4 linked regions of the Oryzias latipes genome follow. The protein of the gene in region 1 interacts with the protein of each later gene in a pairwise test. Links are inferred from orthologs where the notes say so. Each region holds a gene or a part of one and is shown in the gene's direction. Other genes may lie near its edges.

Region 1 (4,794 bases):
ATTCAAATGGGAAGTTTCTCTTTTGCAATTTTGGAACAACTGTTCAAAAAAGTAGGTGTGGTCAACACACAGTGTATCAAATGTTCCCCTTTTCCTTAACATTTATTTTCTTCAATATGTTCCTTACTTTTTAAATACTCCTTAAAAATACTATTATCGTCAGAAGGCCCTATGAGGACTTTGCAGAAGTTCTTGCTTGAGCTTCCTGTAGAGGATATAGTGTTGAAGCTATGGCATAGAGTGGACAAGGTCGCATGTTTGGCTCCTGCTCTGAATGCCCATATGTCATGACAAATGGTCTGGCTAGAATGCATGGTAGCTCTGACACCATCTGTGTGCATGGGTGAATGGGATTTGCCATTGTAAAGTGCTATGGGACATAACGAATATATCTATTTATGCTATTTACTTCTCCTGCGGCAAGCAAAATGTAAAGGTAAAATTAAAAAGCTGGTGGGCAATGCTTGTGAATTTCAGTCTCTTTTTGTTTAGTTTGTTCTTGCATCAGTCCTCTAATTCATAATCTCTGTTTTTTGATTGAAGACCTAAAAATTGTTATAAAAAAAGAGCTAGATTAACTTGATGTTAGTAAAGATTTAGATAAATAATTTCTATAAATAACGTAGTACATATGTCAATAATGTAGAACTAAAGGGGTTGTGTATTAATGCAACAACTACTGAACCAAATAGATTGTAATTGATTTGTGATTAAATACGAATCAATTAAATGTTGCTTTATTTCATCAATTTATTTCCAAAACCAGTTTTGATTAAGAAAACATGTCTTTTAAAACAAACAAAAGTGGTAGCCCACTTTTATTTAAAAAAGGAGTCTTACATCAACAGTAAAGAGAAAGCGTTTTTTGTCTTTTTTGTCTTAAAAAAGAGAGAAAATATCTTAAAAGGAAAGGCAATGCATGAGTTTGAATAGTTAATTCCATTTTCTTTGTAAAATGTCATTAAATTCTATTAAAAAAATCTAAATTAATAATGATTCGTGTTTTTAATGATTAACACTGAAGTAAAGAGCATTCACTTTGTCAGAGCATAGGTCAGCTTAATCCTGAATAAGTCGACTTATTCGTTTGTCTTAACACAAATGAATCATTTGAACTTAAAACACTGTAAAAAAAAGAGGAATGTAATTTAACAATTAGATCAATCTTTAACCCTTCGTGGTCATTTTTGGAAGGATTGTTTATGTCCCTCCCTTTCAAAACAACAACCATAATAATAATACATATAATCCTGTGATGTAATTTCATTGATGGTTTTGCTATTTTTAAAGAAATCCTTCAGAAGCCTCCAGCACCTGTGGTCCACACACTCAAACATCTCATGACATGCAGGCTTCACATATTCTGCTCTAAACTCAAAACAAACAAAATTCTATTATAACCCACTGCAATGCAATGTTGAAGAGACAAAAGAGCCTTGCAAGAATCTCCCCTCTTGCCTGCATGGGCCTTTTCCACTCTTGTTTGAAGTCGCTGGAAAGAGGGAGGGAGGAATGCCTTTTTTGGGGGGGCGGGATCTTGTGACTCACCAGCAACTTCCTCAGTAGTAGGACAAAAGTAGCCGGCAAGCTGCACCCCTCTGTGCTGCAGAGTTTTCATGCTTTGCTTCCACTTTCGGCTTCTCCCATCAGGGGTCGCCACAGCGAACAAGTCGCATGGTAAATTTGGCAATGTTTTACGCCGGATGCCCTTCCTGACGCAACCTTCTCAAACCGGGCTTGGAACCGGCAGAGGTAGAGAAGGGAACAGGGAGCAGACCGGAGTCGAACCCGGGTTTCACGAATGGAAGGCGCCGCAAACCAGCACGAGCTAATGACAAGCAGATAAAACAGAACGTTTCAGAGCCGGAGAGCGACACTCCTGAGCTTTTTCTGTGAGCTGATCCCTGTGCTGACCTGAGCGGCCGTGTGCTGACCTGAGCGGCCGTGTGCTGACGGGAGGAAGGCGGCTGGATCACCACCACAGCAGCTTGGAAAGGTGCCTCCACACTTCAATCAGTCTGACTGGTAAGAAGAGACATTTTGGCTCCATCATTTTCATTGAGTAACCTGTTGATCCTAAATCAAACACAGGTGTGTATGAATATATAAGATAATCTGGGTTCTTTCAAGTCCATTACTTAGTCCTTTATGACTGAATGAAAGTATAGTTGGGGGGGAAAGGGTTTTGAGAGTAGGCTCAACCAAATATCTACAATTCCTGAAGTAGAAGTATCTGGTTGCGTGTTTAGACATTGTCTAAATTTGCTGTTGCTGTCTTTAACTTTTTCCCTTCCCTCTCATTCAGTAATTCAGTTGTGTCCCTCTGTACACTCGTAGAGTGTACAAGGCGGAGGAAATATAAATAACATCCTTCCGATGAAGAAACAGACCATATTAGCTTGTGTGACCCTCTGAACTGTGCATATGAAGGATTCAGGAGCAACTGTTTTGTCAGAGAAGTTCAAGCTGAGCTCCAAGTGAAGCCTTCACAGGACTAAGTCCCACAGGCGAAACTTGCCTCTTTTTTTCTGCAAAAGGGGAAAGTGGCAAATAGCAGTAAGAGTGTGCAATGGGTGTGTCTATGCTGTAGCGTCTGGAGTCGTGCAGCACCTCATGGTACGTGTCATTGTGATGACAGTTTGGCTCACCTGCTGGGTCATGTGGGTGCAGTGGGAGGGTGAGGTGGTCAGCCTTGACTGTAAAAAGTTTAACAGTCTGTATAACAGATAGAGGAAGAGATTGTTTTAAATCGATGCCTTTGGTTCACAAAAAGCTCTTCCTTAAGCTCTGATTGAATATAGTCTGCTGAAACAGGCAGCAAAGAAAGAACTGGGGGTTGTTCTGACATCGGTTGCAAGAGAATCCCAGAATTTTTGGGAGATTAAAAGGTCTTTCACAAACAACTTAATCTTGATTTCCAGACAGAGAAAAATTGCATTGATTCTTCATGATCTTGACCCAACTAACAAACTGCAGCATGAATAAAAAGAAATAATGTCAATGTCCTCCTCTTAAACATAAGCAATCCTTTTTCTGCAGTATAGAACATACATTTTAATCTGCTGGTTTGTCTCCAGCGTGGTAGACAAAAAGAAAATCTCCTGATCCAACTGTGAGTAGATGCAAGAGAAGATACAGCTGCAGCCTGGACATAGAAGTCAACATGGTGCTGTAGTATGCCTCTTCTAAAAGTTTTTGGTCTGAGGAGTGCTGGGGTGCTCTTGCCACCTACAGGTTTTTTTCTTACATGGTCAGTAAGGATAACCAGCAGAGGAAACACCCTTTAACTACATGTCTCTTATTCGGTTCCATTTAGCATCTGGGAAGTTTGCCTTGACAGAGCATACAGAGCTGCATAATGTCATTGTTTGCTTTTTTCCTCCCACCGCCTCCATTTCTTTGACCATGGTCACATTCTTCAGAGGTCCCAGTGTTTTCCAAAGGTTAGCTCTGCGTGGTTTTTGGACTCTGGCCAGTTCCAAAACTGCAGCAGGACTGCAACCAAATAATTTGAACTGGTTTTAGCAGCCTTTATGTGTTGGCACCATTTGAAACCTGGCCAATGGTAATGATGGAGGAGTTGGCGGTCAAGTGTTTGCAGGTGGTTTTTGAGAGCAGAATTGGAATTTGCGTTGATGTAGTCCTCTTGTGACATTGTGCAGCTGTGTGTTCCTCCATTGGCACAATTTGTGCTCGTGTAATTGCTCAGTGCCTTAAAATCCCACGTGTGGGTGTCTGATCAACAGTCCTACATCACAGAGTTTCGTTTGTCTTCAACTTCTACATAGTTTTACTCTCCACCTTCACTCAAAATGTGAAGTACAACCCAATAATCAGGTGCCTGTTTGAAAAGCTTACTTATTGAGGTCTCAGTAATAATTAGTTATAATTTTGGTGGCACTGTCTATTATCAGTACCTGCTTATCCTTGTGGAGTGTCAAAAGTTCAGGGCAAAGGCGGGATGCGGCCCGATAATTCCATCACAAGGCTTTGGTGAAGTTAAATAAGTCCGTAATGTATTAGGTTTTGGTTCTAATCTTTTTGGGGTTTTTTCTGTAAAAAAATGATTAAAGGTGCTATAACATATAAAGCTTTGAAAATCACAATAAAGATATTTTGGAATTTAAAAAAAAAAGGTGCTATGACAATAAAACCATAATGCAGTGCCCTGGATTGAACCTCCTCAAACAGCTATGAGAACAATAATATTGGTTTTGTCATTTTGTGTGTATATATATATATATATATACATATATATATATATATATATATATATGTGTGTGTATGAAAGTGTAGCACTGGAACTTCAGCATGTTTAAATTGGTTGTTATGGTAGTCAGTTCCCTCCTTGGTAGGATGTGGGGGCGCGTGGCTGGCTGTTGTAGTGTGTCTGCATTCCCTTAAAAAGGGGGGAAGTGACCTCAGATTTCCTGTGAGGGGATTGCCAGGTGCTGTAGTGTTATTGTGAGGGTCGCAAGGCTTCCTCCGTGGATGCTTTGTTGGTAAATGTCTGAAACTCTATCCCCTGAGCCAGGGCCCCAGTGGGAAGTAAAATGTCTCCTCACAATCCAGGCATCTCCTCTCACTAACTTCTTTTTAGTCTTTCCTTTCTTGCATCGCCCAGTCCATTCCAGGACTTTCTTTTAAAGAGCACATAAAATTTATATTGTCAAATAAAGAGTGTGAAGTGTAAGTGACTCTGCTTAGGGGGTAATTAGGCTTCTTTAAGCATACAATTACATGTCTGTGCTTTACTCTTACCTCAAAAGGAAAGACAGTTTCAAAGGAAAAACC
Region 2 (4,339 bases), on another chromosome or scaffold:
TGCCTTCATCCCCACAATCAATGCAATCACAACAAGCCAGGACCTGCAGTGGATGGTGCAGCCCACGGTCATCACCTCCATGTCCAACCCTTACTCTCGTTCCCACCCGTATGGCCATCATCTGACCAACGGACCAGGGCTGCTGGGTCACAACACGCTGGCTCGACCCGGAGTCATACGCTCCATCGGCGACGCCAGAGGCCGACGCAAGCGAGACGAGCAGGTGGGTGATTGAGTTAGAACAGCACGGGATGATGAGAAATGTAACATGTGAAGCAAGTTTAAAGGAGGAATTTTACAGTGAACTAAATCCATCTGTTTTTTTCTTAACCTGGCTACAGCTCACCCCAGAGGAGGAGGAGAAGAGGAGGGTAAGGCGCGAGAGGAACAAACTGGCCGCAGCTAAGTGCCGCAATCGCAGGCGAGAGCTCACCGAGATGCTGCAAGGGGTGAGTCCCACATTCGCCTTTGGCTCTAGCGCCCATCTATGGTTCTTGCCTTCCTTCTAAAGAAAAAACTAAACTCCTGTACGAGCCTCCTGTTAGCATCACTGACAGATGAAAAGCCGTTTCTGCTGCAGACAGAAGGAGAAGCGTCCCGCTGCTCATGCCTCACAGACAGCTACAACATCTAAATGGAGTAAAATCCCAGTGAGGTGGAGCTTAACAGACCATAAAAATGAGCCCTGTGTGGAATTTAGACCCGGCTCGGGAAGGCAGGACGTTCTGTAAAGAGGCGACCGGCTCGACCCCGCAGCCCGTGCAACACTTCCACAGAAACTTAAAGTTCCTTTTTCACTCAGAGTGAAAAACGGTCTAAATGTTTGCAGTGTGTGTTGCCTTAAAGCACTGAAGAGCTTCGCTTCACCCCACCTTTCTTCAGTTCCTTGTTAACAACTTCCTCATACCTTTGCACACCAGCCAAAGTTCTCTGAGAGCATGAAAGCAGCACTTTTAGGGTCTGCCTCCTTTATCTACATCTGTTTTATTCTAAGACATGAATCACAATCACAGCCATGGCTGAATGCTCAAATCATGCTTGAGATTTTATGTCTTTGATAATGTTTAGAAGCCTTGTTTGGGTTTGTTGATTTTGCATGAAGAGGTAAACACTGCCCTCTTCTGGGGCTTTAGAGAAACGTCAACACCGCTGACAGCGTTCAAAGCTCAACTTCTGTTTCCTCTTTCCTCAGGAGACTGAGAAGCTGGAGGAGGAGAAGGCCGACCTGCAGAAGGAGATCGAGAACCTGCAGAAGGAGAAAGACAAGCTGGAGTTCATGCTCGTCGCTCACAACCCTGTGTGCAAGCTGCCCCTCTCCGAGCGCCACCAGCCCTCGGCGCAGCAGCAGCAGTGCAACCTGCTCCCGCTGTCCATGCGCCCCGGCGTGGGCTCCAGGGCTCAGATGAGCCAAGTGGTGGTGAAGCAGGAGCCGGACGACGCAGACGAAGGTTTGAACAAACCGCAGCGCTCCGTCATCAAGCCCATCTGCATCAGTGGCGGCGGCTTGTACTGTCCAGACGGAGACAGCCTGAACACGCCTGTGGTGGTGGCCTCCACCCCAGCCACGACACCTAATGCCCCCAACCTCATATTTACCTACCCCAACATGTTGGAGCCGGAGAGCCCCTCACCCTCCTCCGAGTCCTGCTCCAAGGCCCACCGGCGGAGCAGCAGCAGCGGCGGGGATCAGTCCTCCGACTCCCTCAACTCCCCCACCCTCCTGGCCCTCTGAGTGGAGGAGGCAGCCGACGCCAGGAAGTAACACTGTGGTCAAACCCCAGGGTCAACTGCCCCTTTACCCCCCTCCTGTGTTTTTGAAGCACATTCAAAAGTCTGGACCAAGTCGACTGCGTGAGCCGTCTCCCCTCCGGGTTTGAAGGAGGGGGGGGGCAATAAGTACCACGCCACAACCCCCCCACCCAAGGTGTGCAACAACCCTAAAGCATCATCCTGTCACCATTTCAACTCCAGGGGTCATCATGTTTACAGACGATTCTGAAGAAACCTGCCTGAACGTACGCGGCAATCATGACTGACGGGACCACAGAACAACTCTTTCCTAGATTTTTATTGACTTTATCCTAAAAGCCATGTTGTTGACACTTGCACTCTGCCAAAACGAATAAATGAATAAATCACTAAGCGAGGCCGGCATTTTTGCTGGAGTTTTATGGAGAAACAAAGACGTCGTCTTGGCTGTTTTTTCATTGAGATTTGTCTTTTCCTGTCGATATTGAGACTATAGGCTCTGAGAGTGTGTAGACTTTTCTGCTGTTTTCTCCATGACTTTCAGTGTATTTATGGCCTGTGCTAATGGAGTTTCAAAACTGTTTTGTTGTTCTCTTCTTCAATCCGCCTGTAGAAAAGCAGTTTGAGCCGAGCCCTCCTCAGTGTTGGGGAAAGAAACCCTTCAGCACTTCCTGTTCCGCCTTAGTGGCTTGACTTTCCAGTAGTATTGTGTGCTTTTCCTCAGCGATTCTGTATCTGAACTTTACGACCTGTTTTTTGACAAAGTGTACGTGATTTACATTGATGTCAGGGACGGTGTTTGGTGTGTCTTGAAGAGCGCGGCAGAGTTTCTGGCTGTTCCAGAGGCGGTGCGGCGAGCAGCAGCAGCCGCCGCCGCCACCTCGGACAGTTCTGTACGTTTGAACAAAACCTTCCTTCTGCGCAAAACATCTTTGTTTTCCAAACATCTCACTCTGGTTCAGCGCTCCATCTTGGGGGCCAGGCAGGTCTCAAGAAGCCAAAAATAAGATTCTTGTAAATCCTGTGATTTGTGTGTCTGTGTCTAAAAGGAGGATTTTGCTCAAATCAGGAGAAGCCTCTGTGGTCCAGACTGTCGCCACTCGCCAATGATGTCAACCCTCTTCTGCAGTGTTTGTATTTCAGTCTGTTTTTTTTTAGAAAAGAGTGGGAAAATCTCCTTTAGATGTTCTGATTTGGGGGTCCAGCCATCGACACAAAGCTCAGCTGGATCAGAACCCAACACAAGAGAGGATGAAGACCATAAACTGCATCAAGGAGTGGAAGCCAACAACCTTTTCAAAGAGGTTTAAACGCCACGCACTACGAAGGGCAGACCGGTGAAATTTGAATCTTGTCCTTTTGTTTACTTGAGACATTTCAATGAATCTACCGTCAGGTTTGCTTGAACCCTTTCTGTGATCAGCGGGGAAGAAAGTTGCGCTGGATGCAGAAACTGCATTTCTTTTGCAATTCAACACAAGCTGCTACTTGTTTGGGAGAAACACAGACACACACATGCTGGGTGTTTCTATTGGGGTGTAATGTGACTAGCTGTTATCGGGGCCCCCCAGCCTGCAGGACGGCCCCAACGCAGCACTCTGTCTGCATGCTGGAATTCTATGGAGCCCTTCAACACACATAGGAAAGCCATGGACTGTAGATCTTCTGCTCTACATGTCACCTGTTGTCTGTTCTACTGTTAATTTTTTTTTTTCAAATGCTTTAACTGTTTCAAATAATTCAAAATGAGTAAAAACAGCAATATGTAAAGCAGTGTTTGTTAATTTAAAAGATAAATGATAATAAAATAATTTTCAACTTGGAATTGTTTCTTTTCTTATTTGTTGGTTTGTGGTTCTGGCATCGGGTGGAATCACGTCCTCCTAGTTCATCTGGATGATTTACTCAGAGAAATATTCAACGGCTGTCTTGACTTTGATTTAGATGAATCATAGAAAATAGGTTTAGGTAGTAAATGCATAAATTCAAAGGCTGCACAGGAGAGAATCACAAATAAAAGTAAAAATATTTGTAAAAAATGACAATCAAAGGCCTTTCTGAGTCGATGATGGGAATCAATGACAGCTAGAAGGTCGTCCATTATAGTGTTTTTAACACGAGGAGTTTTTTCATGGACAGGAGGCTTTGCTATGTGATGGTTCAGCTGCGTAAATGCCTAAGGTAGGGCAGCAGAATGGTGTAGTGGTCAGCACTTCTGCATCACAGTGAAGATGTCCTGGTTCAAATCCCAGGTAGGTCCTTTTTTTGTGTGGAGTTTGCTTGCTCTCAGCGTGCACGTGTGGGTTTTCTCTGGGCAATGCAGCTTCCTCCTATAGTTCAAAAACATGCTTCATGGGTTCATTGTTGAGTGTAAATTGCCCCTCGGTGTGCAGGTGTGCGTGGTCCTGCAACAGACTAGTGACCTGTTCAGGGTGGACCCAGCAGCCCTGTGACCCCAAAGCGGTTCAGTGGGTTCTGAAGATGGATGGATGGATTTGTAAAGGAACGAGAGGACAGTTCCCTTTTGTGTCTACAGCCAACTGTACAACTGGTTCTTTTCACTCTATTTATTTGGTGTTTGCTGCCCTCT
Region 3 (4,253 bases), on another chromosome or scaffold:
TTGTTCACAAATCTGTCTAAATCTGTGATAGTGAGCACTTCTCCTTTGCCAAGACAATCCATTCCACCTCACAGGTGTGCCATATCAAGATGCTGATTAGACAGCATGATTATTGCGCAGGTGTGCCTTAACTTTATTAATTTGATTTTATATACTTTACCTTTTCAAAGGGCTGTTGTTTTCTTTTTTATAAATGCAGGCTGCGTTTTATTGCACTCTGTTTAGTTCCCAGAGAGGGGCACGTCACGCACGTTCCGTTTTGTTGTTTTTTGTTCGAATCCTCAAAATAAAAATGACATAAAAAATCAGATTTCTTTATGACATTTCTTTAATTTTATCAAATTAATGAAACATAATTCATTGATATTGTAATGAAGTTAAATTTGCACAACAGAGCAGTCACTTGACCTGTCGTTCTCTGCAGAATGCAATGCAGGGCAAATAAACATTTAGTTGTTAATGCTCACTATGTATTTGTAGCAACTTCATTTTGATAGAAGGCTAATATAGCTATTATATATACATATTGCATGTGTTGCCTTCATTATAAGGCTTAAATAGGGCTTTTAATATTTTGCGGCTACAGAAATGTTTGTTTTTTGTTTTTTTCGTTCAATTTGGCTCTTTCAACATTTTGGGTTGCCGACCCCTGGTTTAGGCTGTCATCAACAACACCTACATGAATAATAATTTCACACATTGCTGTGATTTTATCTGTGTTTAACAATAAAGCAAATAATAATATAATTTTTTTTAAAAACTGAGAATAGGAACCAAGAGGAATGAACACAAAAGCAAATAGGATTTTTCTGTGTTATTGAGTTTGAATGAGACAGAGCGGAGATGTTAGACTTTGTGGTGCTGCTCTGATTCTGATTGGTGGATCCAAGCAAAATATCTGTTAAGGAAATACTAAAGCTCATAAAAACTGTCTTGATTTTCTTTATCAAATTATATATTATGCAATATTTATTTAAGTCTTGTGTTTTTAGTGATTTAGTGGGCATATTTAACAGTGATGTGGTTTTGAGCAGATGGCAGAATTTTGGGAAGCTGGAAAAGAAGTGAGAAGGACGACATAACTGCTTTATTTGCCTAGTCAAGGGTCTAAACATCTGAACTTTTCAGGTTTTCTGAGTGATCCTTGACCTGGAAGGGTTAGTATCATTCAAATATTCCAGACCTTCCAGAAGCACAAACTATTGGAAGGTTAGCTGAAGGTCTTTGGAGCTGCTGACTCAGCTCTAAGTCTTGCTGAACCATTTCATTGTCAGTTGAAGGTTAAGTAGAGGTTGTGAAGAGCCTGCTGACATAGCATGCGCTGATGTTGTTGCTCAAACACCAAAACTGGTTTTCATATTTGTGTTTTCACTCAAACCAAAACAGTGAAAGAGACTTTGTCAGCTGATCTTCAGGCCGCCCTGACACTGATCAATATCTACCCCGTCCTATAAACCGCCCAACTGCACCTTCTTTTTGAAACATAAGAGCTGCTGATCAGGTTCTAATTACAACACGTAAAATATTTGCAATGTCCAGTTAAAAAACTGGACACTGTCCAAGCATGTCATGCAGGCTGAGCACAGAGACCTATAGAGACGGCCTTTACTGCCAGATAGACTGATTGTTCTGTAATCTGTTTGATTCTTTTGGATTCTTCACTGCAGGCAAGCATTCATTCTGTCCTCTTTAGATGTTTAGTGTAACAAGAGTCAACCAGAAGACTCCTCCAACTTTGACCCGTCTGTCTGTCTGTCTGTGTCTCCTTCTGTCTGTCTGCACTTGTCTGACTGTCTCGCTGTCTCTGTCTGTGTGCAGGACCTGAAGCAGTTCGACCCCTTCCAGGAGTGGACAGATGGTTACGTTCGCTACATCTACAGCGGTGAGACATTTTGAGTTTACCGTACAGATGAAATGCCTCCTCAGCTGTGAATAAGTGTTCTGATTGGACAGTTGAACCTTTAGGTTAATGAGCAGATGTGTCTGTGCAGTCAAGCATCTTTTCTTGTTGGCACAAATCCTAATAAATACAGTTTTTAGGCCAACGTTTTATTGTTTTGACTTTTACTAACTGAATCCATGGGAAACTGCAACAGTGGCAACAAAAAGCAGGTGAAAGGTTGAACCTTTTTCTTGGACCTCAGATCATACAGCAGTCTTTGAGGAGCGGCTGAACACTTGGGAGGTTTGAACTTGCGAGTCTCTTTGTTTTGCAGCTGAAGATAAAAACGCTCAGCGACATTTGTCGGGCTGGGCCATGAGGAACACCAACAACCACAACTGTCAGATCCTGAAGAAGTCCTGTCTGGGTGTGGTGGTCTGTTCTCGGGGGTGCTCGCTGCCAGACGGATCCAGACTGCAGCTCCGACCCGCCATATGTGACAAAGCTCGGCAGAAACAGCAAAGTAAGGACTGAGTGAGACCATGTGTCCGTAGTCCCTGCTAGACCAAACTCATAACGATGTACGTTCCAGAAAAGCTCTGCCCGAGCTGCAGCGCTGGTCTGGAGCTGCTGCCGTGTCGAGGTCACAGCGGCTATCCTGTCACCAACTTCTGGAGAGTGGACGGAAAATCCATCTTCTTCCAGGTAGAACCGGTTCAGTACTTTGTCACTCAGCTGAACGGAAACGTATGTGCTGAAAGAGAAATCGGGTCCAGAGATCTTTAAATGATGTATTTAGCAAAAAACTAATACAAATGTTATTTTATGAAAAATCATTAATAAAGAGAACTTTCTTTAGATCAGATTCCAATCGATCATTTTGATTCAAAATTATGGCCTGCAGCCGTCACAGACTGCAGGGACCAGGTTGTTTTTGTCGACATATCCGATATCCGAGCCAAAAAGGCCTGAAAAAAAGTGTTACAATCAGACTGGAAAAGATTAAAGTGTTGAGAGGAAGAGGGTGATGTGAGTGTGTTTATGGTGTTAAAAATTGCTTTTGGGTTTCTTTTGTTCATTGAAATAAGTTTGTGAAAAAATGTTGACCTAGCTTGCTTTATCATATCATTTAGGGTGGAGGGTGGCTCTTTAAGATGCAGCCTGTGCACTTCCAGTTTTATTGTTTTCCATAGACGTTCTACTTTACGACAAAGTCTTCTGAAGGAACGAATGTCAGCAGTTATCCAAGGAAATGACTTATTAGAAGTGACGCTCTCTCTGACAGCAGCAATTGTGTTTATAATGGTTTCACAGTGACTGTTAAAAGAGTGCAAAAAAGAGTCTACACTGTCAAAAGGGTTAAAAGAATTTGTATCAAACAGATCTGTGAATCTATCCGACTCATTCTGACGTAAAATTCGTCTCTGCATTCTAACAGGTGTGGGTGAAGGCGGGTGGGGGGAAATCACACTAACCCTTGTGCTATCTTAGATGACCCCACCCTTACTTTGATGTGTTCTCCCTACCATGACAAAGGTGGATAAAGGTGGAAAGATTTCATGTAATCCATGGACACCAGTAAAGATCACAAATCATTGAAGAAAAAAGGTTCAGAGCACTGTCTAGTGGGTCTAGATGACCCAACTCCCAATGGTAAAGTGCCTAGGATAGCACAAGGCTAAAGAAAATTCAGCAGTGATCACCGATGTGACTGTCTTTAACTCTAAGCTGCTTAATATGTAGACTTAGGGAAAAGACTATGTCCAGAGTGTGCAAAATTCAAATATTTAGTTATAAATAACAATTCTGAAGCAGAGACACAGGAAGAGTCATGAATGTGAATATTAAAATCACCCAGTGAGAGTACAGGGTTCAAATTGATAATACCTGATTAAAACTCAGCAAACTCGTCTAAAAATACCCGTGCAGGGCCAGGAGGTCGGTAAATTAAAATGCAATAAAACGGGGAGTCAGATCCAACCTTAGTGATCTGCAGTTCAAATGAGCTGAAAGAATCTGAGCTCAGCTTCCAGCCGGAGGCTAGAAGACTACCAAATGTCCTGGTAGATGGCGGCCAGTCCCCCCCAGACTGCCCCGTCCCACAGATTGTTGAGATGGATGCGCTCCATCTTCCGCTGCCATGTCTCTGTCAGGCAAAGGAAGTCCAAGTGCTCCGATGTGAAAGAGTCATTCAGATGAAAAGCTTCGTTAGTGATGGAGCGTGCGTTCAACAGGAGTTGATCCTCAGATGATCCCCAGATTTCCCGGCAAAGGGGTCGCAGGGTTCAGGCGTTAACTCCTCTATGGCGCAGACCGGGCAACCAGGGCCGTTTTGTCAAACCCCGTTGACAGGAGTCAGCCAGCTGATCAC
Region 4 (4,253 bases), on another chromosome or scaffold:
GCTTACAGATTTCCATGGTGACACTTTGTATCATTCACAATCTGCGCACAAACAGTTTGCCACTGACATGTATATTTTTAAGCCTGAAGTTTTTTTCTAGGTTTGGATTTTGTATGCTGCTGTCATTTTAGCAATTATATTTAAGCCTCTACAAATAGCAACTCTATTTTTAATGTATCTCTATTTTGCAAGTTTTAATAGATAAAAACATAAAAAAGGAAAAATTCTTTAAAAAATGTTTTTTTAGCTATCTTTCAGTCATGTGTATTTTCCTTATTGAATTTGAGAGGAATATGAGCAGATGTCAGAACACCTCCATACTTTTGGTGTTTTCCAGGGTGCCGGTGAGATGGGCAAGTACACCTGTCTGATCTGTCAGAAGGAGTTTAGCTCAGAGAGTGGTGTCAAGTACCACATAAGTAAAACACACTCACAGGTGGGTCCCCCCCCCCCCCCCCCCATTAGTGGAAACCTCATAGCCATAAAACAGGCACCGATGTCTTCCATTACACAAACTATTTTTCCATCATCCTTTGCTGAGTGAACACGTCTGCATTGAAATGGTTGCTTTTGTTTTTATTGAAAGTGATTGAAAGGGTTTGGTTGGACATGCTTTAAACACAGCTTAAGTGAGATCATCTTAATGTCATCTATCGGAAAAAGCATACTCAGTTGTGTTTGTGTCTAACTTTATAGTGTTTATTTAAAAAAGAAGTAACAGATTATGTAATTGAATAAAAAAAAAGCACAAAACATATGTTCTTCATTTATTCATTCATGTATTTATTTATTTGTGGGTCAAAGAAGTTAGACCACATAACACCACAACGCTGCCATTGCAATACTTGCTTTTTGTTAAAATGTTGCTCCTTACTTTTAAGTCCCTGGCAGGTACGGCACCATCTTACCTCTCCAGTCTGCTTTTAAAATATTCCCCCCTAAAGTCCTTATGTTCCACCGACCAGTTTGTGTTAATGGTTCCCAGAACCAAATGCAAGTTTTGGGGGAACCGAGCATTTGCTGGGTTGCCTCCTAAACTATGGAATGATTCCATAGTTCCAAACTCTCCAAGGCAATTGTTCCTCCATTTTAGCGCTTTAGCATCAGCCTAGTCCTAGTTTTAATCTCTTTTAAATTGGTTTTATGCTTTATATTCTTTTCTATTTATGTCTCTACTATGTTTTTAATTTGCTTGTTTAATTTGCTGTTAATTCTTTTATGCTTTGTTCTCCATGTGTACAGCACTTTGGGTCTCCTTGGCTGGCGGTGGAAGGTGCTTTATAAATAAATAAATGAATGAATGAATGTTTTTACTACGGGTAATTTCATTTCTGAGCAATTTGTTATAGTAAGTCGTTATTCTGGGGTTTTTGTATCATTAACAATGTTGATAAAGCAGTACAAATAGTAAATTTATTAATAATATAGCACAGAGTGAGATACTAATAGAAGTACTGAAGTGTTCTGTAGCTCTTCTAGAATCAAATTGGAAAAAATGTCACTATTGGCTGAACGCTCTGACCTAAAAGTGTGAGGAAGCCACTGCTGTCAGCTGGCTTTTTACTAAACAGTGCTGTGAAAAAGGTGTAAACTTTACTAGTTCATCATTTCCTAAACTAGTTATCTTGTGAAAACCCAAACATAAAGAATGAAAATCAAGTTTTTTGAAAAAAAATGATCAAATATAATTGATAACGCATATTCTACAATTTTTCCTTTATACAAAGTTTTTCTTTGAAATGCTAACTTATAATGCAACACACAAGCTTCTGGTTTAAATGTATTATCTTTAGAGTGACTTTTTTCTGTAGGATTTACATCATCATCATTTTCAATATATTATTCTGATTAATGTCTTCCTTTTAAGAGTGTTCAAACACGTTTTTATAATATTTTAATGATCTCATCGTGCATTGAATTCTTTCTCTTCCCTCTAAGAACTGGTTTCGTACTGCAGCCAACCATGTGGTGTCTGGTAACAAGAGCAAAGTGGAGGAAAATAATGGGATCAGAGCTGAAGTGAGGAACGGTGCCACCACTGGTAAGAAGAGAGGGCGCAAACCTAAAGAGCGCCCCAGTGTGGACGCTCCTCCACAAACAGATATCGAAGCACTTACTCAGAATACTGTCCTAACTGTGGCCCCTCCCTCTGGACCAGCACAGTCCTCCGCCTTGGTTCCCAACTGTACGGACGGTGACTACCCATGCCACAACAGACAGCCTGTCCCCTCAGCCCCCAGACGAAGCAAACCTAAAAGGCCCTTTTTTGAGTAGTTCTGGAGCCAGCGAGGAGCTTCAAACATTGCAAATGACGGGAAACCTCTCGAACTCCACAGAAACTCTGGGCTTAAGAAGAAACTCAAACCCACCAATAAGAAAGAAACAAATGTTAGTCCTTAAATTCTAATTCAAGACTCCGGATTTCGTGTTTGCACTGGTATGAACAATATTCACAAAGGTTTTTTCCTCCATTCCACTATTGTCTCCTTTCTAAGGCTTTCAGTTTTTATTTTTGTTTTCCCAGCAGGGGGGGTAATCGCAAATCAAATCCAGAACTTAAACATGCTAGTTTTTTGTTTTGTTATTTTTAACAATCATAGTTCTCTATATTAAAGAAGACACAAGTTTTCTCTGTGAGATACATGTTGTGCTTGAGAGGTTTTTAAAAATAGAAATTTTATCAGCATGAAGAAGCCATTTATCGAAAGCTAGTGTTGTCACAGATAGACTTGTCTGTGTACATAAACAGTAAATATATCTTTGTGTATATTTAAAGCAAATATTCATTTTTCATTTTCAAGTTGAGCAGATTCAGTTTGCAGTCTAAAGTTTTTTATGGGCGTAAGTGACATTTTGTTCCTTGTTTCTTCTTTTAACCTGCTTATCTATTTGGGTTAACATGTTGGCCAGTTTTAAATCACGGTTCACTCTTTAAAACTACTTTGACAGGACGAATAAGATTGTCTGCCTTACAGATTGTTTCCTCAGATCTTTTTTATTGAAACTAACAAACTGAATCCCCCCCAAAAAACGATTCAAAACTCTTAAATATATACATTTTTTAAGTTATGCTTAATGCAATATTTTAAACAGAATCTCCGTCTATATTTGGCCCAGGAAAGGTAAATATTAGACAAAGGGAAGAACTTTGTGTGAAACTTATCTAAGACTATTGCAGCACAATCACATCATGTGACACCACTTTAAATAGGGCCAAGCTTTGGCAACTGCTTTAGCTTACATCTAAGCTGAAGAGAGGATTTTAAAATATATATATATCTTTTATAGAGCATTTGAGAAAAATACATCTTTATTAAAGAAAAAGAAAAAAAACTTCTGATTAAAATTCACAGAAAGTAATGCATATGCATGAGTTCCTGGAAGCTCAAAGTTATTGCCTTGCACTTTAACACTCGAGCTTTCATGCTTGCCTTTTTGCACTCCAAGAATATACAACTGAAGTGCAGGAATGGGAATATTTTTTAACTCCAATGAAAGCTGGAGTTAGGGGAAAAAAAATCAGCACAGTTAACACTTTGAGTCCAGGATGACAGTAACATTTACAACATCAGAAAGCCATAACTGGTTGTTAGTGTGCTGCCACTAACTGTTAGATTAGCCTCAGATTTGCTTTAAAAAAATTGAAAAAAGTTAAATACATTTTATGACGTGGAATATTTTCACTTGGTAATGGTAAACTACTTCATTTTGTAGTTGAAATTATAATAGAAATTCCATAAGAATTTAATATATTATTGTTTGTATCAATTCAAAAATACTAAGTATAAGACTTAAATCTGGACTCTTTAAATAAAAAAAACTGTGGTGTGGGGATATTCTGGTGAAAATATAAAGGTGCTTTACTAGCCTTTCTACCTTAAAGACCTGAAACAACTCACGCACATCCACCAATCCATTTTGCCATGTTCTTCGTGTTTGCAAGTTGTCTGAATTTTGCACCAAAACGTCATGTCATCATGAAAACAGTGAAGAACTGAACTGTTTAGGTGTTCCTAAAACCACAAGGAGCTGATAGTCAGAAGACAGTGAAGAAACATTTTGTTTTAAAAGTAATTTTGAGTCCTTCCTAAGCTGTAAACTTTTAAAACATAAACCAGAGATCCAGTATGATTTTTTTTTCTTCCTAATATGAGGATGGAGTTCATCCAGTCGGGAATGGCTGTGCACTTGTTTAGGGATGGACCTTTATCTTCTGTGGAGTTTCAGCTGAGGAAGCATCATTCAGACGAGCA

The links. The genes of interacting proteins can lie anywhere in the genome.
Region 2: the proteins of fhl3 (region 1) and fosl2 interact in binary tests that used the Homo sapiens proteins (3 or more experiments, as listed by UniProt). The two-hybrid records come from large-scale screens. The link is inferred for Oryzias latipes from reciprocal best matches to the Homo sapiens genes FHL3 and FOSL2.
Region 3: the proteins of fhl3 (region 1) and gcm2 interact in binary tests that used the Homo sapiens proteins (3 or more experiments, as listed by UniProt). The link is inferred for Oryzias latipes from reciprocal best matches to the Homo sapiens genes FHL3 and GCM2.
Region 4: the proteins of fhl3 (region 1) and znf512b interact in binary tests that used the Homo sapiens proteins (3 or more experiments, as listed by UniProt). The two-hybrid records come from large-scale screens. The link is inferred for Oryzias latipes from reciprocal best matches to the Homo sapiens genes FHL3 and ZNF512B.

The regions. Positions count from the first base shown.
Region 1 is NC_019874.2:23,737,022-23,741,815, reverse strand, and holds the start of fhl3 (four and a half LIM domains protein 3), read left to right. Parts: upstream 1-1,737; 5' UTR 1,738-2,025; intron 2,026-4,794. UniProt on the Homo sapiens protein: Recruited by SOX15 to FOXK1 promoters where it acts as a transcriptional coactivator of FOXK1.
Region 2 is NC_019880.2:25,929,363-25,933,701, reverse strand, and holds the end of fosl2 (fos-related antigen 2), read left to right. Parts: coding exon 1-223; intron 224-341; coding exon 342-449; intron 450-1,192; coding exon 1,193-1,732; 3' UTR 1,733-3,574; downstream 3,575-4,339.
Region 3 is NC_019878.2:1,852,356-1,856,608, reverse strand, and holds part of gcm2 (chorion-specific transcription factor GCMb), read left to right. Parts: intron 1-1,818; coding exon 1,819-1,882; intron 1,883-2,216; coding exon 2,217-2,405; intron 2,406-2,474; coding exon 2,475-2,587; intron 2,588-4,253. UniProt on the Homo sapiens protein: Transcription factor that binds specific sequences on gene promoters and activate their transcription. Through the regulation of gene transcription, may play a role in parathyroid gland development.
Region 4 is NC_019865.2:15,572,826-15,577,078, forward strand, and holds part of znf512b (zinc finger protein 512B), read left to right. Parts: intron 1-337; coding exon 338-436; intron 437-1,938; coding exon 1,939-2,274; 3' UTR 2,275-4,253. UniProt on the Homo sapiens protein: Involved in transcriptional regulation by repressing gene expression. Associates with the nucleosome remodeling and histone deacetylase (NuRD) complex, which promotes transcriptional repression by histone deacetylation and nucleosome remodeling.